3 linked regions of the Drosophila melanogaster genome follow. Changing the gene in region 3 together with the main gene of any one other region gives a genetic interaction. Each region holds a gene or a part of one and is shown on either strand. Other genes may lie near its edges. The genes, in order: para, jus and shakB.

What was found.
Region 1: of shakB (region 3) and para, changing one suppresses a phenotype caused by changing the other (phenotypic suppression), as found in Drosophila melanogaster (one study listed by BioGRID).
Region 2: of shakB (region 3) and jus, changing one suppresses a phenotype caused by changing the other (phenotypic suppression), as found in Drosophila melanogaster (one study listed by BioGRID).

Annotation. Positions count from the first base shown.
Region 1 is NC_004354.4:16,522,880-16,530,752, forward strand, and holds the start of para (paralytic), read right to left. Parts: upstream 4,536-7,873; 5' UTR 4,398-4,535; intron 2,537-4,397; exon of another isoform or gene 2,343-2,536; coding exon of another isoform or gene 423-2,342; exon of another isoform or gene 88-422; intron 1-87. Other genes in the region: Cnx14D (calnexin 14D), read right to left, coding at 423-2,342. UniProt on the Drosophila melanogaster protein: Mediates the voltage-dependent sodium ion permeability of excitable membranes.
Region 2 is NT_033777.3:29,190,009-29,197,993, forward strand, and holds the start of jus (julius seizure), read right to left. Parts: upstream 4,986-7,985; 5' UTR 4,880-4,985; intron 1-4,879. Other genes in the region: CG14515 (uncharacterized protein), read left to right, coding at 7,626-7,985.
Region 3 is NC_004354.4:20,822,204-20,829,857, reverse strand, and holds the start of shakB (shaking B), read left to right. Parts: upstream 1-3,401; 5' UTR 3,402-3,511; coding exon 3,512-3,870; intron 3,871-4,216; exon of another isoform or gene 4,217-4,342; coding exon of another isoform or gene 4,343-5,566; exon of another isoform or gene 5,567-5,568; intron 5,569-7,574; exon of another isoform or gene 7,575-7,654. Other genes in the region: CG15450 (uncharacterized protein), read right to left, coding at 4,343-5,566. UniProt on the Drosophila melanogaster protein: Structural component of the gap junctions at electrical synapses in distal and mid-depth levels in the lamina. Isoform Lethal forms voltage sensitive intercellular channels through homotypic interactions.

The sequences.
Region 1 (7,873 bases), 4.3 Mb from region 3:
CAGCAGCCCAGAAAAGTATGCTACCACCAGCGAAAAGATCGCGGAAATTTGCTTGTTTTTCCGTCTTCAAACAATTTTCCCTTTCACACCCAATTCTTTTTTTTTAATCCGATTTTATTTGGATTTGGATGTGTTATGTGTATGTGTGTGTGTGTATGTGTGGGAGAGTGTGTGTGTGTGTGTGGGAGAGTGTGTGTGTGTGGGAGAGTGTGTGTGTGTGTTTGTGAAATAGTGTCTGTGTGTTTGTGGGATAGTGTGTGTGTGTGTGTAGTTTGATCGAGATGTCGGCTCTTTTGGCGAAATTAGAACATGTTTAAAATCTACGTTTGCTTGATCATTTGGTTGTTGGTGCTCTGCAACAGTTGGATCTTGGAATTCGATTTAGTTTCTTATTTAGAGTTGCAGTGACTACGGATGCCCGCTTACTCCTTGAGTGCTTTACGCTTCCTTTTTTTTGGGGTAGGTTCCTTGTTCTTTAATGTGTCTTCCTCATCTTCGTTATTATCTAAATAAGACTTTTGGTTCTTCTTGGGACTAGCGGACAGCGGTGTGCTTTCCTTGTTGGTATCACCAGCGGCCCTTTCGTCGGTCTTCTCCTCGTCATCCTTCTCCTCGTCATCCTCCTCCTCCTCGCAATCCTTCATCTCCTTCTCGTCATCCTTCTCCTCCTCCTTCTTTTCCTCCTTATTCTCCTCCTTCTCCTCCTCCTCCTCCTCCTCCTTCTTTTCCTCCTCCTTCTTCCCCTTCTCCAACTTTTCCTCCTCCTCGGCCCCCAGGTCATCATCGGGCTGAGGATCGTCGGTCTTCTTGGCCGCGGCAGCAGCAGCTTTTTTGGCAGCCGCAACCCTACTCGGGCCTAAACCAAATTTACAGAAGATGGTAATGGCAACCGGCACCGCAATGGCCACTATGACAATGCCCCAGATCGCTCGATTGGCCCTAGCTAGCTCGACTACCTTATTCCCGAATGATTCACGATCGATGTAGAGACGCTTGATGTCGAAGCTGTTGGCAGCAAAGTCACGGGCCAACTCCACATCGTCCGTGATGATCAGGTTATCGAAGAGAATATCGCTGGACATGGACCACAGCTCCAGACCCACAGCGTTGATTGGCGTCATTTGGAAGGGCTTCAGATCCTCAAAGAAGTCTGGATTGGCTATCTTCCTGGGAGCCCACTTGCCCTGGTTGTTGGGGTTCTCGATCATTGGTGCACTCCACTTGCCCTTGTAGTTGGGATTGGGGATGAGCGGAGCCTTCCACTTGCCACAGCCGGGGGCCTTCTTGCACACTGGGTTCTCCACCAGAGGAGCCTCCCACTCGCCATCGATTTCGGAATTCCAATCTTCGGGTTCGATGGCAGTTGGATCGAAAATCATGTCGGGCTCATCCTCTAGCCAGCCATTTGGCATGACGGCATCGGTATCGGGCAGATGTGGTGGAGCATCCTCGTCCCAATCCTCGGGCTTGTGGGCATTGGGGTCTGGGATCTTCTTCCGCTCATCCCACGATTCTGGCTTGTGGTCATTGGGGTCATCTATCTCCGCCGGTGGGTTGACTGGTGGCACAAAGTCGGTCAGCAGGGAACCCTCTTTGATGATCTTGTGGTCTAAGCGAATCTCAAAGCTGTTATCGGGACGGACCACCAGCTGGTAGAGATGGGGTAGCTTGTCCGTGAATGGCACTCCCAAACGGGCATTTGGCTTTTTGCAGTGCTTTTCGGTGATGTTGCCATTTAATGGATTGACGTGCCGGAATATAAAGTGCATTTTCAAATTGTTGCCGCACTTGTCCGGACCAAACATGATGGTATAGGGTGTCTTGTCATTGAAGCGATTTAGTTGCTCCGTGCCTTTTCCGGCGGACAAAAGCTTCAGATACGAGCCGCCACAGTCCTGACCCTCCTGCAACGTAAGCTCGTACTGCACCACCAGCGGCTTGTTCGACTTGAAATCGAACGGCTGGCGAAAGGGGGCGGCTATGGCCGCATGCTTGGCCTTCGACTTGAGCACCAGACCCAGATCGTTTGCCCAAAAGATGCGTTGCGGAGACTCCCAGTTCCAGATGCCATCGTATTTGGCTATCTCATCGGCGATGTCGTTCTTCTTGGCCTGCGACAGTACCCATCTCTTTCGGGATGCCTCCACGTCGTCGAAGTGATCCGCAAAGTAAAACTTTTCGGCATCGATCACCGGACTCTTGTAGGCAAACTTCTCATCGCCATAGATGGCGCCGGGCTCTATCTGCACATCCTCCACAGAGTTTTCCGACTCCGGGGCCAAATAGCCGGTTTTGGCCGCACTCAGCAGCAACAAAATGGCGAAGAGCATTTTCCAAGCCATTTTCACACACTTTTCGCTTGCTCGCTTACTCAGAGTTGGAATAGATAAGGATTGACTGAATTGAGCCTTGCGTTTTTTTAATATAGCGACGTTCGAAGAAATTAACGATTTTTAACGATTTTTTGTGAAAAGTGGTTGACTTGACTGAACTGAGCCTTAATGCGTATGACTTTATTGACGCCGCTTGCTTGTTTGTATAAATTTTGGATTTGACTTACATAGATAGCTTAGTAATAGGTAATACGATTATGATTTTTAAAATGTAGATAATATTATAAGCACTTCATTTATTTGAAACGGTCTAACACTACCTTCTACCGCTACTACAGAAAATGTGAGAATTGAATCTAGATTCGGTTACGGATGTTCCTGCGGTCTTCGGATATTGGGCTTACATAAGCAGCCTCCGCTAAGGTCAAAGCACTCTTTTTCCATTTGCCAATCTGGCTGCGTGTGTGTATGTGTGAGCGCGCCAGTGTGTGTGCGTGTGTGTGTGTGTGTGTGTATCGAGCATAAAAGTAGGTCAGTTCGATATTTCGCCACACTCACACACACACGGAGGCATGAAGCATAGGGTAGCGTTCTCACACACACACAGAGTGGCAGTGGATGTGCCAATATGAGCATATATTTATGTGTGTCTGTTTCCATTCATGACACTCGCAAAATTCTGTTTGCCGAATTAATTTTTGGCCATTCGCTGGGTCGATGAGTCATGCGAAAAACCGCAAACAAGAATTGAAATAAAAAACAACCCGAGCCGGAATTTGTGTCAATATGCAAATGACACATGACAAACACATGAGCGAAACGCAAAACGTTTTCCTTAGCCAACCCAAGGTATCGATTTGGCAATATAACACAGAATATCTGCTACCCTATTAATTGTTGAACAAAATTCGATGGCAAGGAAAGGACTAAAAAACTAAAAAAAAAAACAAACAGAAACAGCAAAAAACTGAACGAAGTTAGCATGTTGTTAGTCAATGAATTTTGCATGGGAGAGCGCAATGGGCTGGCGAGAGAGCGAGGACTCTCACTCTCCTCCTGCCTGCGCCGAGAGAGCCAGTGCCCTCTCTCTTGCGCTCTCACTTCTCTGTGTGATGCCGCCAACAAACACGGACTACAACAATACATTTTTGGGTTCCCTTCTCTCTTAACGAACCTCCTTTCAATGTGTGCGTGAGCAAAGGAATTCCGTTAGAAACACCCCCCCCCCTCAACCTTCATCATTCATTTTTTTCTGCTCTGCTCTGCTCTGTTCTTTTTTTTTTTTTGTGGCAGCTGAAAGTTTGCCCTCCAAAAGCCAGCAAAAGGTTGTAGCCCAAAAGCAAAGGGGCGTGCCAGTGGGCGGGACAAAAAGGGGCGCAGATACCCCATTGATATGGTCTTGAGGTCGGGCCTGGTTAACTGGGATTTTCACCAAGGAGGCATGACATAATCGAGCCAAGTTCATCAAGTCGCCCACTGCTCCGTTCACACTTTTCTAGCTATTCAAATATTGAAATACATACGAAAGACACAATTGCTTTCTAAATTCTCATTTGACGTGCAGCGTAAATTGCCCTTTTTGGTATTCTATATTAAAATTGCAATCGATGGGAATACCAAATGTGGGTTTCTTAAAAACTTTCAATGAAAGTTGAACCATTGACCCAGTAAAATGTAGTTCTCTTTGACCAAAATGAAAAGTAAATTAATGACTTTGTTTTGAGCTGAGAAGTAAGTTAAGTAAGAGCTGAGAATTTCTAATATAACACATTGTTAGCCTGTTTGCTCTAACATAGATAACATAATTATTTTCAATACATTTCCACTATGTGTTAATTGTAAGAATTCATCATAAAAGTGGTTCTTTTAGACTCGAAAGATCGTTTAGTCTTAAGAATAAATCATTCAAGGTATCGGAAATAGTTGAAACTCAACAAATAAAAAATTTCACGATTTTTTTTCCTCTGTTTAGGGTTAAATATCATTAGCATAATTAAAAGTGCAATGAATGTGATAATAAAATACATATTAAATGGATTTTTTCGATTGCCTTCGATTACCTACCGTTAATCGATGTCTATCGATGTTGTGCCTGGCTGCTCGCTCTATCCGCTGATGTTGTTGTTGCTGTAGTTGCTATTGTGGTTGTTGTTGCTGTTGCTGCTTTTGTTGTGAGCGTGCTTGCTTGTATTGTTGTTGTTGCTGCTGCTGCTAAGAATTGTTGCTGCTGTTAACTACTGTTGTTGTTGTTGTGGTTGTGGCTCTGGCTGCTGCTGCTGTTGTTGTAGTTGTTGTTGTTGTGGCTCACACATTTACAGGCACCAACACACACGCGACGCACTCACACACATATGCATACATATACATAGATATATATATATATAAATATATATATATGTATATTTTATATATATATATATATTACGGAGACGAAGACGAATAAAGTTGAAGCGGTAGAACAAGTAGAAGATGAATTTGTTGTTTGTTTTGTTTTTTGGTTTTTTTGTTTGGTTTTTTTTTTATATTTGTATTTTTGTTTGCTTTTATTTGTTTTGGTTTTGTTTGTTAAATCTGCATTATCATTGGGTATTTGAATTGGTTTTTTTATTTAATTTTTTTGCGTGCTTAACAACAACCAAGACGTGTTGCCAGAAATTTTCATCAAACGTTGCGTTTTGTTCCCAGAGCTGTTTCAATTTATTATTTATAGTTAATGTTAATATTATTTGTTGTATTATTTCTACTAGTATCTGGCTACCTGGCTGGGATATTTAAATGAGTTTGCCTCGGCTTGGTTTCTCAACTGTTGCTATGATTATAATTGGTTTTCCGTATTATGACTAATAGTATTATTATTATTATTTGCAGATTTTATTTCGGTTTTAGTTTCAATTTCGTCAGCGTCGCCTGCGGAAAAGCGAACAAGTTGTTGAAACCCAGCTTAAATTGGAAAATTTGATGGGAAAACTCATTCACAAAAGGTGACAGAAATGTAAAAAAAATTGAAAAAAATATTATCGGAAGAAAAAATTTCGAATAATTTGTATGGCCCACTAAAAGCACCCCCTAGTATTGTTTGAATGGCTTGAAATTATTTTTTTTAATATTTATTTCTTTTTATATGTTAGATTTTCTGCTGTCCTTGTGCCAATTATGTGAATTATGTCGTTAGTTTATTTGATTCCTTCTACTAAACTTGTTATATTTCTTCAATAGATATTTAAAATGGGCTTGTAAATTGTATTCACACACTTGATGGCTTTCACTTAGACACACGAAAAAAAAAACGTAAAATGAGCACTCAATTGGCAGGATAATGTCTCACTGGATTGGATGCACTGTAAAAAAAAATGTCGAGGCAGCGAGTCGCGGCTTGTTTGTGTTTATGCAATTTTCGCGCGCACGTGAAACGCAGAGCAGTATTGAAAAAGGACACAAGGATGCGGAAAAAAGTCGAGCACTGAGCACTGAAAAAGTTCCTCCTCTCTGGGTAACTCCGTTTTCGGGCGAACCAGGCAGTTGTCCGCCGTTTCGCCGTGACTTCCTTTTATCCGAATTTGCCGCGAAAAGGAGCAGAAGCAGTTCGCGCGTGTGTGTGTTTGTGTGTGTGTGAGAAGTCCTTTTCGCCCTAAAGCATTTGCCATATATAACCACCCAAGTCGTTGTCAACACAGGTTTTGTTGTGCTACTTTGCCACCCTGTTTTTCGCTGCTTATCCTTTCGCCCTTCGCTATTCTCCGCCATTTGCCACATACTATTCGCCATCGCCGACTCTCATTTTTTTATTTGTCTTTGGTCACTTGTTCTATTTTTAGGTCATCAAGCTGATATTCCACGGCTCTGCTCTGCCCGAAAATTGCAACAGTGGGTCATTATTTTTGGGCGTTTGGCACCAGTTGGACTGGTCAAGTCAAGTCCGACTGCGTTCATAACTAATGTGGCCCGAGAATATGGAGCATCAGCTATAATCGCAAATCATGCTGACCCGCTTTTCGGGGCCCCCCATCTTGGACACCGACCAATCGATCCTATCCGAACTTTATCTAACCCAGCGGTGGCGGGGTCACCAAGTCACCAAGTCACCAGTCAGCCCACCCATTTGCACACATTAAGGAACTGCGTTCCTAATGTCCTTACAAATGGACAAGTACATACATATGTATAAACAAATTGAAAACAATGGAGTTTAACTGTGTGTGTGTGTGTGTGTGTCTTAACTGGATTGGGGTCACCAAAGCGCGCAGCTTTTGTGGGAGTTTGAGTAATAATGCTTTTAAATCAGGAAACTGTTTTCGAAGCGTTTAAGCTTGCTATAAATTTAACCTAATTGACTTCATTCTTAAGTGTGTAATACTATAAGTTTGGACTTATCATTTCCTGGCACTCAATAGTTGTACTCAATAGCGTACTTAGAAACCTTTAAATTGCCAATTTCTCTTTGGGACTAATGTTTATTTATCACAGTTTCATCCATAATGGGAGCCAATGATTTGGAATTCGTTTGGATCATGAACCTTGGCCTTGCTCCTAATTGAATTCGCAGTGAGGATCTTCGCGTAACATAAGACATTTGTCGCAGGTCGCATATGGATGGCAATATTACCGAGAGCACAATCTCCTTATTGGATTGCGTCCTGATTGCAAGCCCTTGGGATTCGCACAATGGAAGCCAAAGGCCAGAGCCTTGCACACATGCTATTCGACTTGCGTTTGCTGCTCGATGGCTGCTAGCTTGGTCTTTTGACCATTTGCACGTCACGTATTTAATAATTTATTTATGCATCAATTTGGGTTATGTAAATTTTTTACACCAAAAGCCAACAACAGGCAAAGGGCGAGCAAAGAACAACAATGGGGCTGGAAGCCAATTGAACACGCACAACCCAGGGGCAGATTGAACTGCGACTGCCATTTGGTGACTGGTGGTGCTCCGGCTGGGCTTCCGTCCCTCTCCATGGGATGCAATGGTATGGGGGTCCTGCGGAGCCTTCGCCCCGGGACAAGCTGGTGAGCACGATGGAAGGCTGGTGGCAGGCTGTTGGCCGAATGGCACCGGCCTAACCCGCTGGGCATTGGACGAGCCGCAAAGTTATTGTAACACCCATTTGGACTGGTCTTAACACATCGGTACTTTCTTTAACGGGTGTTCCCCATGCCATTTCACTATATTTTCAGCTTTTTGGTTTTCTATAGCGACCAGAAGTCGCGAAAGCAACACAAATAGCCAAATAGCCACACGAAAGCCACACAATCGCACACGAATGACAGCTAGTGCGTTTTATAAACGAAAGTTTATAGATTTTGGCCAAGGAAGGGAAAGTTTTCGCTTTCGATTCTGGGCCACAATTGCGTGTCCTTTCGGTTTCGACGAGGTCCTTGCAAGTTCTCGGCAAGAGGCACATAAAAAATGAATCCTTCGTTGTAATGTGGCACCCATAAATGTTTAAACAATTTTGACAGTACCTAAGTTGCTTGATCTAAGAAAGCAAGTAAAATAAATGATGTTACTAACATAATCTGGCTTAAAATTGCTTAATATG
Region 2 (7,985 bases), on a different chromosome or scaffold from region 3:
TGTGCACTATCACTATCATATGCCCCATCTGTGCTGCTGCCCCATGCAATATCAACCATACGCCCCGTGTGCAGCCAGCCAAAAGCGAACCGAATGAGTTAATGAGTTTCTAATGCACGCAACGAGGCGTTCAGTGGGTGATTGTAGTAAATCAGATATGTCAGCATGTCGCACACCAGCACGTTGATATATTTTCTGATTCATCTGATTCCCTTTGGTCTGTGGGAAATTCAAAGCGGATATCAACCTGTGTTCGATCTACTGCGCTCCGCTTTTATTCAGCCGTTGATTTGCGGAGGCAATTTAAACACAATTTCCCCGAACAATAGAAATTTTAGCCATTAAATTCGCTTGCCATGCAGAAAGACATCAAGAATGCATACGGCGTCGCATTCGCAATTCGCAGTGAAATTCCCAATCCCGTATCCAGTGCACTTTTACGTGTCGAACTAACGATGAATGTTGCAAATTATTTCCAGCCAGACAGGCAGGCAGATGGATATATATTTAGGGCCAAACTTTACGTTTCAAGATACCCATGGAAAGCCATAAATAGTTCAAGGAATGTGCTGTACCAAAAAGATACTTCTTTCTATGCAAATTTTTGGTGCATCTCTTAATACTTTCATCATGTGAATTGATGATATACCTCTGCGAAGTTATCAAAGGCGATTATCTGGATATACCCAATAATACCCATCGATTTCTGCTCTCGGCATGCAAATCTTTCGCTTTTTGCAGTCGCTCGCCGGATGCAACTGCGGATGTGGATGTGGCAGTGCTGGGATGAGATGCGACGGAACGGGAGATGCATTGGGTTGGGATGGCGCCTCCAAAATGAATCGCCTGAAAGTGCTGCAATATTTAACATTTGCGTCGTGTGCAGGCCACGTGCGAAAAGTGGGGCTTTGGGCGAGTGGCACATATAGCCACCAATGCGGAAGGAAAATGCGATTTTTCCAGGCTTAGTCACTGGAATCCACAAGCTCTGGAATCCATTTAGAGCGGCGTGAAGTGGCGCTAATCGAGTGCCGTTGGATGGTCATTGGTCATTATAATGCCTGCAACGCGCACTCCATTGATCACGCACGAAAAATAAAATATGTGCCGCTTGTGTACTATAAATAGAACATGGTCTAAAAGGTGGCATACACTCAGAGAAATAATTGCTATGAACAACCTAATATCATAGCTCTGGCGAGTAATGTTACATCTAACTTTGAAGGAGACAGTTAGTTAGTTATTTGTTTGAATGCAGATATTATAGCAATATCGCTATTTATATGAAGTATGCCATTATAATTTCTCCCAGTGCACGGCTCCACAATCGCTGAGCCAAGTGTCGGGGGTGATAGAGTGGCATATGCACTTGCCATGACATGGTTAATGTGACAACGACTGTTTGCACAGTTTGCTTAATATTCCACACGTGCTGCCGCACATATAAAGGACTATGTGGCTGTACACATGTAGGATAATGAGGGTGTCAGAGGTCGACTTTTCGACTCCGGGCCACTCGACTCCTCGGTTCTGTGTCATCAGCGAAACGGGGCCAGTCGACCGCTGGCAATTTTATTATTTATCCTGGAGGTGAACACACACACACACCCACACACACAGCGAAAGCCCCAGAGATGCGGCATTTAGTTATCCTTAAGCTACTTAAAGGACAGCCTCACCTCAGCAAAATTAATTAGTGCACTTAAGCTAACCGCGCCTATGGGAAGCGCTGTCAGCCCTCGAAAGATCTAGAAGTATTTGCCCGAAAATTAAGTATACGCCGTGGCTAGCGCTGTACTTCATTGGCATTCATGCGCTGACCCACCGCAGCAGCCATTTGCCAGGGGAAAATCAAGCAGATAGTTTCGAGCAAAAGGATTCAAATGTCGAAGCGAAACGATTTTCCAAGCAGCCAAACAATTTATCTTCGCAGCGCCGGCGCTGGCTGGCCTATAAAAATGGCAATCATTATTATAGTCATGTACCAGGCAATGGGGCGTTACGGCAATCAACGCCAGCGTCCCCGCCAGAGCTCCATAAATAAGCGCGCAATTTCAATTTTCAACAACGCCCCAAAGGAGCTCATACTCGAGCTGAGGAGGAGCTGAAGAGGCCCGAGAAGCGAAAACCGGAGACAGACGCAGGCCGCATCGAAGATTATATGGTATATGGCTTATATGGTAAATGGCAGGCCGTGGTGTGTATTTAAATGCATTTTTTAATAGCCATAAAGCGGGCAGCTTGTCGGCCTAAACGGGAGGAGCACCAAATGCCAGCGGGCGCACTTAAAGGCCTCCTCCATGCGGATTTCGATTGAGAGTCCGCCTTGGATACGGATACTTGGCCGGGACAAGGACGAATGCGCAACTAAAACAAGAGAAGCCTCCTCGTACGGGGAACGTCGTATATAAATTATAAACGCAAACTGTGCGACAAGGATTTCTGGTTGGGTTTTCGGTTTGCTATACGGCATGTCTGCTCTTTCTACTTCTTTTTTTTTCAGTTTTATTTCTGCCGGTCGACATGCGATTTCGATGGCAAATGATTTTGCATTTGCCTGAGCGGTGGCGTGGGGCTGTGGGGTGGATATGGCGTATAGGGCGGCAAATCGAAGCATAAACGGGCATGCCACATGGTGCAAGTCGAAGGTCAAGGGTCATGCCGGCAGTCGGATCTCCTCGAAATTTACTGCAACACTTGCCGCCGGCGCAAAGGCATCACATTGTGGCATATATACTTTAGTTGTATTTATAGGCTGGATGGAAATTGATGACGTCTCCATCGGCAACGCCCCCCTGCCAGCCACATATATCCTCGAGATCCTTCGGCTGCGCGATGTCATGCCGCATGCAGATTGTCGTGCAGCTAGTAGCGAAGTAACTGCCACTGCAATTGGAGTTAGTTCACTGAAAGAAAGGTGATCCTAAAGCGAATGATATAGAAACAGAATATCGGAAAATGTAACCAAGTAAAGGTTTTTAAATAGATAGAAGATAACTATCCACTACTTTCTTCTGAGCTTTGCAAATGTATCTCAATCTAATCAAGGGTTTTAACTTCTTCCAAGTCTGAAAGATTCTTTAAATGCAGCTGACTTGTTCGTGATCACAGTTACACCCTTTTTCTTCAAGTGTTTGCAACGGCAACTGCCGCAAAGTCTGTGTTAGCCGGAATCGATCCGAAGGAGGAGCAGCGCAACTCGAGTCCTTATAACTTCACCTATACTGTGCATGTGCACATTCGCCAAACTCTGTGTGTATATGTGTGGCAAGGCGAGTGTGATGGTGTGAGTGGAGGCCAGACCATGTGCCTATGCCGTATCCTTACGCCTATGGATATGCCACGCGATGTGATTGTGAATGCGAAAATGTGGCGACGTCGAGGGAAAGTTGTGCTCCCAGCGAAGTTCGCTTTGGTTTGGTTGGGTTCGGTTCGCAGTGGTTTGGCTTGGCTTTGTCGGGGGGGGCTGCTGGCCCCAAAGCTTCTGGGCCAGGATGACGTAGTCCTCCGGCTGAAGTGTGTTAGTATGTCTGCCCTTCCGACTTGGGGTTGCACACACACACCAGCTCACAGCGTATCCATACAGGCGCAACGAGGGTGCGAAGGGGCATTAAATGGTTCGTGTTTTCCCTGCCCTTTTTCATATTTTCATTTGTGCCTCATCTCGCCCGTTTGTCGCCCATATTGGGGTCGCCTGACGGTTCGTACTTTAAAAGCGCCATTTAGTTCGCGCGCAGCCTAAATTATTAAAAGCAAATCCAACACACCGCACACAGGCAGTTCATTAAATTCAATGTATGCAAAATAGCGGCAACAAATGCGGCAAAAGGCAATCTTCCGCCACCCACCCACTCGGCCATCCAGCTGTTGTCATTTTCGAGCCACGAGCCTCAAAAAAGAAACAAGTTTGCGAGGCAAGCTCATCATAATCATGTGCCTTCCAAATGCAGGCGGAGAAAAGTGGGACACTTTTGCAAGAAAAGATGAGAAAATGTTTGAATTTCATCAGTGCTATGATGATATTTCACACAAATCATACTTATATACATACGCAGCAAGTCACATTTCACGAATGACAAATTCCATTGCCTACTTTTAGGCACTACCACAACTTTAGGCACCACATTGCTTTTAAATAGCCATAACTTTAAGATCTTTTATAGATTTCTGATTAGTTCAACTCTTTTCTGGTTATGAATTGTGTTTATCACAGTTTCCCCCCACAATTTGAAACTACTGCAGCGAGTTTTCGCTGCGTGTAGCAACTTTGCTGCGCAAATATGTTTCGCCAACTTCAATTTGTGTCCCAGGTAGTAAGTTTACCGCTGTGTGCGTATGTTTGAGGGGCATGCCGTGTTACTGTTGCCATCGCTGTGTGTGTGTGCGAGCTTGGCTTTTTTATGCGTCACGTGAGAATTTCCTTTATTATTATTTGACTTGGCTACCTCGGTACATATCACGTATACGCAACGTATAATTCCGCAGAAAGGGCATTGATTTTTTTGATTTGCTTTCAGTTCGGTTCGCCATTCCCCCCTTTTCGTTTATTACTTTGATTGCTTTTCACTGTTTTCTTCGTTTTATTTTTTTGTTTTTCTTTTTTTTTTGGTTTGAGGGCATGGATACGCTGCAGTTTGTGATTTTCTTTGCCCTGCTCAAGAAGAAAAATATTTGCTTGCCATTTATGTATATTCTGTTTTCATCTCGTTTTTTTTGTTGTTGTTTGTGTTTGGCACTTTTGGGCATTCGTTTTTTATTCTTGTTGCACGCTGTTCGGTTCATCACCACATTCACACACTTACACACTCATTCACTGACTCACACACACACACACACTCACGCGCGTAAGAAATATACTACTAAAATACAAATTGCTCACAATTTCCTTTGCTCTAGATAGTTGTTGTTGCTGCTGCTGCTGCTGCCTCGCACTGTTTGCTTTCCCACTGGATTTTCTCGGAAAACTCGACGACCACGCGCTTCGACGTCTGACCACGTTCTGAGCCGAATTTCCCACAGCCTTGGTGGAAAATGCGAATGTGGCGTTGGTGAAAAGTCTGCGAGGAAAAGTCACCATCAGGCGGCAGCCGCTTTTCCTCTCACAGGACCTGCGCATTTCCCGCCTGCAGGTGACACACTTTTCCGCGCCAACCGTCGCCGATGAAGTGGATTTTTCGACCCCTCCTCGGGCCACCGCTCCATCCCCCCCTCTGAGCCCACAAGCTCCACTATTTACATGGCACATCGGTTTAAGGCGGCTGGCAGTTTTCCTTCGTTTGCCCACTTTTTTCGTACTTTAGGTTGAAGTAAATTTCGCATGCATTGGCCGGAGGATGGATGCACTGAAAGAAACACATTACCAGCTTGCATATTATATATATATTATATATAGATATTAATTGATAAAATATTTAGCTTACTTATATTTTTAAACTCTATGATAATGGCATGACTTGATGCGTTAAAGTTTTGTAAATAGTGTATTTTATATATAAAAAAAATCAAAAATATCAAACAAATATGAATAGATTAATTCATAATAAAATGAAATTCTATAATATTTTTAGTATATTTTTCTCTGTGTAGCGTAACAAGACCTGGTGTGATGTGGCGCAAATGTCATTTTCAATGGCCGAAAATTTCGGTATGCTGCTGCCCAGTGCAGGGAGTTGAAAATTCGCATTCGCCGCATCCATAATGGATGATATGTCCTTTCGGCCCGCTGATCCTTCGGTTAAAGCAAAGCCACCGGGTTAACTGACCTTTGCAGTGCGGCCAACTTGAAATGCAAATAAGCGCCAATGTCCAATTGTAAAGTTCAGCAATCTAGAGTATTATTTATCACGTTTCAGCACAAACACATTGCCAAAAGCAAACAATTTAGTTTTGTGCGCAAAAGTTGCTGACGCTGGCACGTGCAATTTGAATAATTAACCGAACATTTTAATTAATGAAACAAGTTTGGTATTGACTTGGCCCAAAGTGTGAGTGCGTGTAGATACACACACTAGCACTTAAAAGTGTGTTTTGGCCCGAAGTGTTGTTGGTCATTTGCGCATTTATTAAATTAGAATTTGTGTGCCATTCGGTATGCTGTTTGCAGTGCTTGTGAATAACAAAAAAAAAAAAAAAAGATAATTAAAGTGAGCAGAAATAATTGGGCACTTTATTTATATTTTTTATTTAGTTACCATTCTAGCTATAAAATATGCTGCGAAAATAGGAATTATAAAACACATAGCTGTGTTGTGTGCCATTTGTTATAGTTTAATTGATAATTATTTCGCATAATTATTTCTCTTAATGAGTATAAACACTATTTTAAAACATTCCGAACAATTTATAAATGAAAATTTAAGCAAATGCTTAAAGTTAAAGAACTGACTTAATTATTCCATTTGTATTCCAACTGACAGCAGCTGTTGCAATTATCCCCCTTGCCAAAAACTAAAGTGAAAATGAGGTGGTGGAAAACCATATTCCACGAAGGAATGGCGTTGGCGGATCCCAGAAAGGAAACCGCCGACTGAAGCTGTGAAATGCGAAACGCAGCGGTATCAAAGGGGGAAAAGCGAACTGCCAGAAAAAAATCACAACTGAGAAATCAGAAAAAGGAAAAACCCAACCGGAGCCAACTCAATTCAGCGAAATCAACGCCAACGGCGGCTGCCTGTCAATTAAAACATTAAAACGCGCTGAAAAATGCAGCGAACAGGCGCAAAGTAAACAAACTGCGGAACATGTTGCAGTGCGGACAGCATTTTCCAACATTTTCCAACATTTTCAGCGATTAGAAGCATAGAATTTCGCAATGGAGCACTTAGAGCAGCACCAGAGTTTCGGGCCCAGACCACCAAACCGAGCAAAGAAATCCGATTCGTCGACCAGGGGAGGGACTAATGTGTGACCCAGTTTGGATCACTGTGCAGGAAAGGAACTCTGTGTGTTTTGGCCATTTGCTTTTTGATCATTAAAAACTGGTTGGCCGCCGCCAGCTGAGCGCCCCACTACATTTGCGGTCAGCTTAATAGCACCGCTGCGGCCATAAATTAGTCAAAGAAAATCTATTGGGATGGCAGCTGGCATCTGTCAATGATTTATTCTTGACACATCATTCCGTGTTAGTTCTTTTAAGAATTAAAAACCAAATAAAATAATAGTAATGATTTACGGTTGGGTCTTAGTGCAATTGTTTAGTAAATAAAGTTATCAAAGGCTATTAATTACTATTTATCATAACAGTTGATCAACAGCAAAGAGTTCTGGAAGAAAAGCGTGGAATATTCGTTTATATTTTTGCATATTTTTGAATATTTTTTTAAACAGTACAAATAACTTTTTAGAAAAAGTTTTATCGTAGTCAAGAAAAAGATGATTTAGCGCACTGACTTCTCCAATAGCTGGCTTTCTTGGATAGCTAAACGCTCCTATTCAAACACCCCCGACTGTGGCTATCTGTCCACTTGAACCGCCCGCCCATGTCTTCGGCGGCAGCGTCGCTTGTGGCATTGCCGCTTGGGTTTATAAGCGGCCGGCGATGGCGGCGGCGAGCCGAGTTTCAGCGTCAGATTAGCCGAGAGCGCGCGCGTTTTTTCCCACGATCAGGAAAATCGAATTCCAGAGCCATGAAGGATCGATTCAAGTGGTTGTCGCTGGAGCTGCTCCTGCTGATAGGCGCCGCAGTCGCCTTTCCGGACGGCGCTCCGGCGGACACGTGCGTGAAGCAGCGGGCGAATCAGCCGAATCATGGCAAGGCCCGGAGTCAGCCGGCTCACTCGAATCCGTACGAGGTGGTGGCCGATGCGCAGACCTACCATCCCGGCCAGCAGATATCGGTGGTCATCTACCCGCACTCGGACCAGAGCACCGTCTTCCGGGGATTCTTCCTGCAGGCGCGTGATGCCAACTCGAACGAGTGGATCGGCGAGTGGGTGCAGAGCGAGAACACCAAGACCATTCCAGAGTGCTCGGCCATTACGCACTCG
Region 3 (7,654 bases):
TCGACCCGCAGGAAAAGCGGGCAAAAAGAATGGAGCTGCATTTGAGTGGCTTAAAACATTCTGCGGTCCACACCCACAACTTGACTGGAAAATGACGGAAAATCCGGGCCGGTGGCGATCGGGGGTAGGGCAAAAGTCCACCCAATGACCTAAACGTGGACGGCATCTGTAGTAATTTGGCAGGGTTTTTTGCCTCTTCAACGGCGCTGATTTTAGATAGGTCACGAAAAAGTTACCGAAAACCAGAGTGCGATTAGAAATTTTCATATCTATCGATTATTTGTGGCATCGTAAAAGCGCTAAAGAGATTTACCGAATTATCAATCCATGTCATAGAATAAAAGAAAGCTTCAAAATTTCAGAAAAAAAACTTAAATTGATTTTTAACAAATTGACGATAAAGTTTTGCAGAGAACTTTGGTTTTTGGTTAAGATTTAAATATTCAAGGACATCTCTTGCGGAACAAAGGCAACATAAATATATAAATGATTTAATGAAATTTGTCATTTTCATAGCTAAATCTCTGCTAAAATGCATTCTTTTTTCTTTATATTTTCAGATCGTCGAGTGTCTATGAGGACAGCTGAAAGTATTTTCTTTTTTTTTTTGGGGGCGCGGCTCCAACTGCCCCACGCCCACGCACGCCTACAGGAGCAAGTGAGACGGCAGACAGAGCGAGTGAGAGGGCGACAAATGTGCAAGCGGCGGTGAGTGAGCGGATTCGGATTCGGTTTCCGGATTCCGGGGGGCTGAGAAGGAGGTAAAGGCGCTGAAGGACCCAGGAAGAAGGCCATGGATTGGTCCCGGTGGCAAATGGCCAGAGAAAGAGCTGGCAACCCTGGACAAGTCAGGAACAACCCTGGGCGCAAGGATTGCGATCACGAGACCCGATTGGAGTGGTTGCCCATTTGATTCGTTACGTCACACGTAGGTTCTATCAGTCAGTCAGTCAATCAATCAGTCAGTCAGTCAGTCAGTCACCCAATCAGTAAATCAATCGTGCCACAGTGCTCGGTTATCGTTGTCCCCTACATCATCAGTAAAAAGCAGAAATACAATACCAAGCGATTAAGACATGCACATTACTGTAAATACTCAAAACTAGTTTCATAAAAGTAAAAACCAAAAACCGAATACCAACAACAAAAACCGAATAACCAAATTGAGAAAGTGCAGTGCTCAGTGTTTACCGACAAAGGAAAAAGAGGCGGCGTGGAATATCGAGTGGGGAAACTTCAAAAGTGAGAGGGCGGCCGGGGGCTGCCCCGCAAAAGAAAATCTTCAAGATCAACAACAACGAAATCAACCAGAAAATCCACTATAACAAGAGAAACAACAGCATAACGCCCCCAACACTGCCAATGACATTGCCATTATCAAGAACAACGTTCGTTCATCATCGTTCGTTTAGATTTGACACAAGTGAGTCTAGCTTATACTATCATACTATCTATTTTATCTATTAGGTGGTTTCACTTTAATTTAAAACTCGAGTTCCGTGGCCTAAAAGTATCGAAGTTACAAAAATATTGATACCTTTAGTCTACTGACCTAGAGTTTTCTTTTTCGTGGAACTTCGATATGCATTGTAAGCACTATTAGTTATAAGTGAACTGTAAATATTATCCCTCGTCAAAATATAGTTGTCATACATATAAGACTAATACTCTTGCCGCATCATAAAACATTCAAAAGTTTTAAGGAAGAGCACTTCCTACTCTTAGAAGATCTTTATGAATGTAAAATTCATATTTCAAACATTGATAGCTATATTTGGTAATTGTATATATGTATATTCCCTGTCTAAAACCTAGTTTCCATACATTTTACGGATCTCCTTGCTGTGAGCCACATCTCCAAAAACCAATTCTACTTTGCTTACTTGAGACTACAGTTGCTTTTGCTGTAGCATGTTAATCACGTCCAAGAAATCTTGATGAGTGAATTATTAATTGGAACTAAACACGTTATCCAGAACTGTTTCGTGATTAAACACTATTCATTACGAAGATGCCGTGAGAAATTCAATTTATATGATTTACCTGTTGATTACCTGCCAGAATTGGTTTTAATACCTAGCCGAGTTCTTAATGTGAAAATCTGAATTTTATAATTAATTTATAAAGTAAATTTAAAGGATAAAAATACCTAAAACGTAAAGTTTAAAAGAGTAAAAAAATTAAGGGCCATAAAATAAATTCTTTACCACAACTTATACTACAACTGTAGGAACTTGGAACTAGATTATGCATGTCCCACAAAGTAAGTGATTTAGGGATCTCAGTGAAATACTCATTAGCGCGTCGAGCTGATTACTGAATAGCCCTTAGTGATTAGCGACTAGTGTCAAGTGCCATCAATCAGAGTTGCTTTCGATGAATCACTTAGCCGACAGCTGCCGCGAATGCACTCGTTGCAAATGTGGCGCGTCGGAGGGCGAGTTGCACTCGCCATCCATCAATTAGTTGAGCACTTGCCACCCCCACCACCCAGTTGCCCACCCACTCAGCATATTCGTTTAGTCAGGCGCAACCCCGCAGGGGAACTCCCGCGTGTCCATTCCCTATCGCAATGGCAATCTGCAATCTGACAAATCAAATCTTGTATGCAAAGCAGCCAAAGCAAAGCGGCAACTGGCGACACGAGCAGCAGCAAAAGCAACAAGGCGACGAGCAATTTGTACGAGCATTTGTGCCAACAAAACGCTGGCACGCAGGCGAGCAGGAAATAAGGCAAGCTGGAGAGCAGGAAATCAGGCAAGCAGTGAGACAGGCAAGCGAAGTGAAAGCACGCAAGTGAACTGGAGACAAAGCGAAGCAAAAACAAAAGCATAGACGCAGCTGAAAAGCGCCCAAGCAAAAGTATCGAAAGCAGCAGAAAAGGTACCAAGACGCAAAAGTAGTGTAATAGTCAAATCAGATAGGTTAGTAAAGTTAGGTAAGGCAAGAAGGAATTCGTAGGCTAACAAAAGCTGCAAAGCACGAGAAAAGCAAAAGCACGTAATAGATATTTTCAGAAGCAAGAAAGCGAACCAGCAGATGAAAGCAGGATCCAAAAGAAGAAGACTAGTCTGAAGAGGAAAGCAAGAAAGCAGCAGACAGAAGAGCTAGCAGGCAAAGCAAGTTAGCAAGCAAGCAGATATAACAAAAAGAATAGCAGGAAAGCAAGATAGCAAGCAGGATACCGAGCAAGATAGCCTTATTCCAAAGCAAAAATCAAACAGTCAAGTAACCGATAAGGAAGCGAACGCAAGCAGATTAGCAGTAGAGCAAGTTAGCAAAAAAGCAAGTAAGCAATATAGGGAGCAGGAGACGACGACTAAATAGTTGCGTGACCAGCGCGCTTTGCTCACTAAACAGCGTAATTGGTCATAAAGCGACTGCTGCGAATGACCCGCACGCCGGACTAACCGACCGTTTACGGCAATTACTAACCGGAGCAGAGGAGGTGACAAGCAATTAGGCGGTCGGCAGGCGGCGGCGGGGGGTCGGCCGGCCCCCCCAACCCCGGATGTATAAGCCGGACACGCTCACGCGCCGCGGCAGCCTGAGATCCCTGCGCAGCGCCCCGCTCCTGAGCACCGTGCTCGAAAGCACGCTTTCACTGACCCGCATTCACCCGATCGCCTCCTTGGAGCTACCCGGCCTCGACTATGCGGTCCACTCGCAGTCGGCCTTTGGCGCCTACGGGCTAGCCCACCCCCGGGATCTAGCCACCTGCACCTCGTTGCGCAGCGGCCTTGCGGCGATCACCGCGGCGTCCGCTTCCGCCGCCGGCGGCGTTTCCCAGTCGCAGAGCGCCCTCCTCGGAAGGTACGGGCCCAACGCCTCGATTCGCCACGGAGAAAGAAAGATTGTCCAGCCAAAACGGTAGGTCCTCGCTATCTATAAGGTCACCACCACCATAGGGACTAGAGTCATATGTCATGAGAGGTCTAGTATATCATATCTAGTTAGTGCTTATCTGGGGTCAGATCCAAAGGACTTACGACAGAATAACTTTTTATAAGTGGATACACAGCATCCGGTTTAACCATTTAATAGCTTTGTTTTAATCAATCAGTTGTCTGGCTATCAAGAGATAGAAAAGCATATAATAATTGGTTTATAGAATAGCCTACAGAATGCAAGGGGTCTTCCCTTCTGGTCATCGAGATTAGCTGCTCCACCACTTCGCGGCCAGAGAACAGTAAAATAAGTGAATTTATCACATTTTGCTCTCTAAAATATATCGATCGATTTACTAGTATCAAAAGGGTCATACAATCAATATACCAACAGCGTACGGTATTGCAAACGGCGATATGAAATAGCCAAGGTAAGAACCTAAGCTATGCTTGAACTATTGCCAGTCCCTGACGGGACTCCAGCGTTTTAGGTTTCCGTCCCAGGGCAGATCATCGATATTCGCCTGGGCGGCGATTGCGGCCTTCACTCGATTCGAAAACTCTACTGGGGACTCGTCGTTGCACCGGCTGAGTGCCGGCATGTACCAAACATCGCAGCAAATGCACCACGAGCTGACCACCATCAGCATGTATCTGAGCATAGAGTAACGGGTGCTGTCCCAATAGGCCTCGCCGAATCGGCGATCGTATCGAATGGCCACTGGATGAACGACGTCGCTGACCGCGAAGCTACCCTTTTTGAACTGCATTACGGCGGTGTTGTTGATGCAAGTGCCCTCGGGGAAGAGCAGGACCGGCGGCCGATCCTTCATGGAGCAGTGTAGGCGGAGCACCAGACCCAGAGCCTCACGATCGGCCAGTTCCTTGCGGTCGAACCACATGTGGTGGGAGACCCTCGACAGGGCGCGCTGCAGGACGCCCAGGATGCCGGTGTGAACCTGGCCCGTCAGCGAGTAGTTGGCATCGCACATCAGCACCAGGACGTCTAAGGGGCTCGTGTGATTGCACACACAGATGCCCTTGGTGGGCCGATACTCCGTGTTGTGGAATCTGCGGATCATCGGCAGGCAGGCGGCCGTGATTCGGAAGCACTGCCGCAATACCAGCTCCACCAACTTTTTCTTGAAGCACCAGTCGGGAATGTGACCCAGCAGCATTGAGACTCCACTGATCATGAACAGGCACAGCCAGCAGCCAATGGTCCTGAAGGGCAAAAGCAGTCCGTAGCGTACAACCCAGCCCAGCAGCCAGACCGTCCTTAAACGCCAGCTGAGGTATCGATTCCTCTGACGAAGGTTGCGGGTCAGCAGATTCCATTCCCCAGCTGGCGAAGGTGGGGCCACAAACCTCTGGGTCACGTCGTCCTCGAGCACCAAGCCCAAGCCGGCGGTTATGAAGTCGCAGCACTGCTCCACTCGGATATTGAGACGATTCTTGATCGGCGGCGAGAGCAGCTTCTCCATGCCATCGCCCTTATTTCCGACCGCCCACTTTTTGCCCAGGCGGCACCGTTCTTCGCGAGCTCGCCTCCTGCGAGTTTCCGCCAACTGATTGCCTATCCAGGCGAAGAGGAGTTCCAGGACATCCAGGTAGCGGCACTGCAGCCAAAAGAAGGACGCCCACAATAGGATGCCCAGGAAGACCAGTTGAATTAACATGGCTGTTGAAAGTTGAAAAAGTTTTACAAATTTAAGAGAAATGTAGATCCTCGTGTTTACCTCCTACTCCTATCGACAACAAAAATCTATTGAGCCTTGACAGCTAAAGCCCACGGGCTAAAAAGCCCATATCTTAAACTTATCCAAACATAGCCCACTGGGAAAACGTTCCATAACAATAGCATTGGTTGTGGTGCGGTTTAGAGGTATTTAGGAAAAGGGTTGTCGATAAGAACTTCCAGCCCGATACAAATTTTAGTAATTCTTAATGAGCTGCATTAATACGAGTATTAAGTATAGGAGTTCACCCACAAATTTCGCCATTAAAGCCCTAATTCAATTTGGCGCCGACTTTTTGGCTTTTCCTCACATTTTTCCGTTTTCCGAATATATATATATTTTTTTTTTTTGCAAGCGCCCAAAAGTCTTGATTTATTTTGCCCGAGATGTGAAGGAAAAATAAGAAAGCGAACAAGAAACTTTGCCATCGACTTCCCTTTTTTTTTTGGCTGCCAGTTGGGTTTGAGTTTTTGGGTCTTTGGGTTCGGCGTTTTGACTGGGGTCTTAGCCCATATTTTGTTTTTTCATATGGCAATAATTCAATTATGCCATAACAAGGCCGCAAAATGTTTGCCTTCGGGCGACCCGAAATCACTTAAAAACCACAGAAACTTCTGGCTTTGTTAATTCGTTAATTAAATGGGGTTTGCGCTTTCGCCACCGCTCCTCGAGGATTACGCAATGAGCGATGATGGCGATGGCTTGGCGGTATGTTGGTATGATGGTAAGATGGTGGAGCTTCCTTCCGCTGCCCTCCATTGATTACATTGGCTGGCAACAATCTTGGCTTATCAAATGCAAACAACGGCGACAGGCAACGTCAACGTCACCGACAACTCATTTATGCCCAAGCCCGGGCCCTTAATTAGCATAGAATGTGTTTTAAAAAGCCACTTGAGCTAAACATTCAAAACACCTACAGGGTGTTTTCCCCAGCCACCAGACACCAACCTTCTGCCCCATCCTCATCCCCATCCCCATCCCCACTACCTGTCTCGCGCTTTTCCTCGCTTTTCCACTTTTCCAGCGACAACGACAACGACCTTAGGCGCTTTCTGCGCGGGAAAGTATCTGCGTGGCACAGTTTGGCAAGTCTGAGGCCGGACAGATTTAAATACCCTAACTGCCGAAAGCGAGGAATTCAAATGAAACCAGCGACTGGGGGGCCACCGGAAGATTCGCAGATCCTTCGTAAATGTCAGGGAAACAAATTAATAGAGTCAAATTCAATAGATATGAAGAAATAATCACTTTTTGAATACGGATTAATATATGGCAAAAATGGGCCTTCAATTTTCAAGACCCAATATGATCTGATGAGCACCGATTTAAAAGTTGAATTCGATTTTCGGCGTATAATCTATATAAGCTCTATTACCATTAAAAATCTTCTTCTTTAATTTCTTAACCATGCCGATTCTTCAGTTCGCTCACTTGGTAATCACCACACTAACCAGTAACCAATAGCCAGTAAACCCTTCATAACCACTATTGCCTGCTTTCCATATCGATCGATTCGCATACATTCAGTTAGGGTATCCGTGTGTCGGTGTCGCCGCAGCAGCGACCACGGCAGCACGTGACGCTCAAGTGTTGGGATAAGCATTTCCGCTCTTCAGACGCTACACGAAAAAAAGCGCCCCTCTTGTGACAAAGCGCTTGTTGTTGTCGTGGAAAAGCGGTGGGAAAGCGTCTGGCGAGGGGAGGGCGGGTGGCAGGGCAAATGAGGGAGCACAAAATTAAATTGTGACGCTGGCGCTCCGACACGCCCACATGACGAGGCGCCGCCACGCCCTCCTGCCATTCAAAAGTAATTTAGCGTTTAAAAAACATTTTTCTGCCTGACTTTTAAAAAGTTGCGCGTAATGCGAGTGTGTGTTTGGGTATTTGCGTGCTTTGCGCAGGTGAAAAAGCGAACCAGCGCTCGGAAAAGCCGCCACTCACTCACCTAGCTGTTGTAGCCACGTTTCGATTTCGATGTCGTCGTCTGTCTGATCCGCCTGATTGTATGTTGTAATGGCTCGGTAA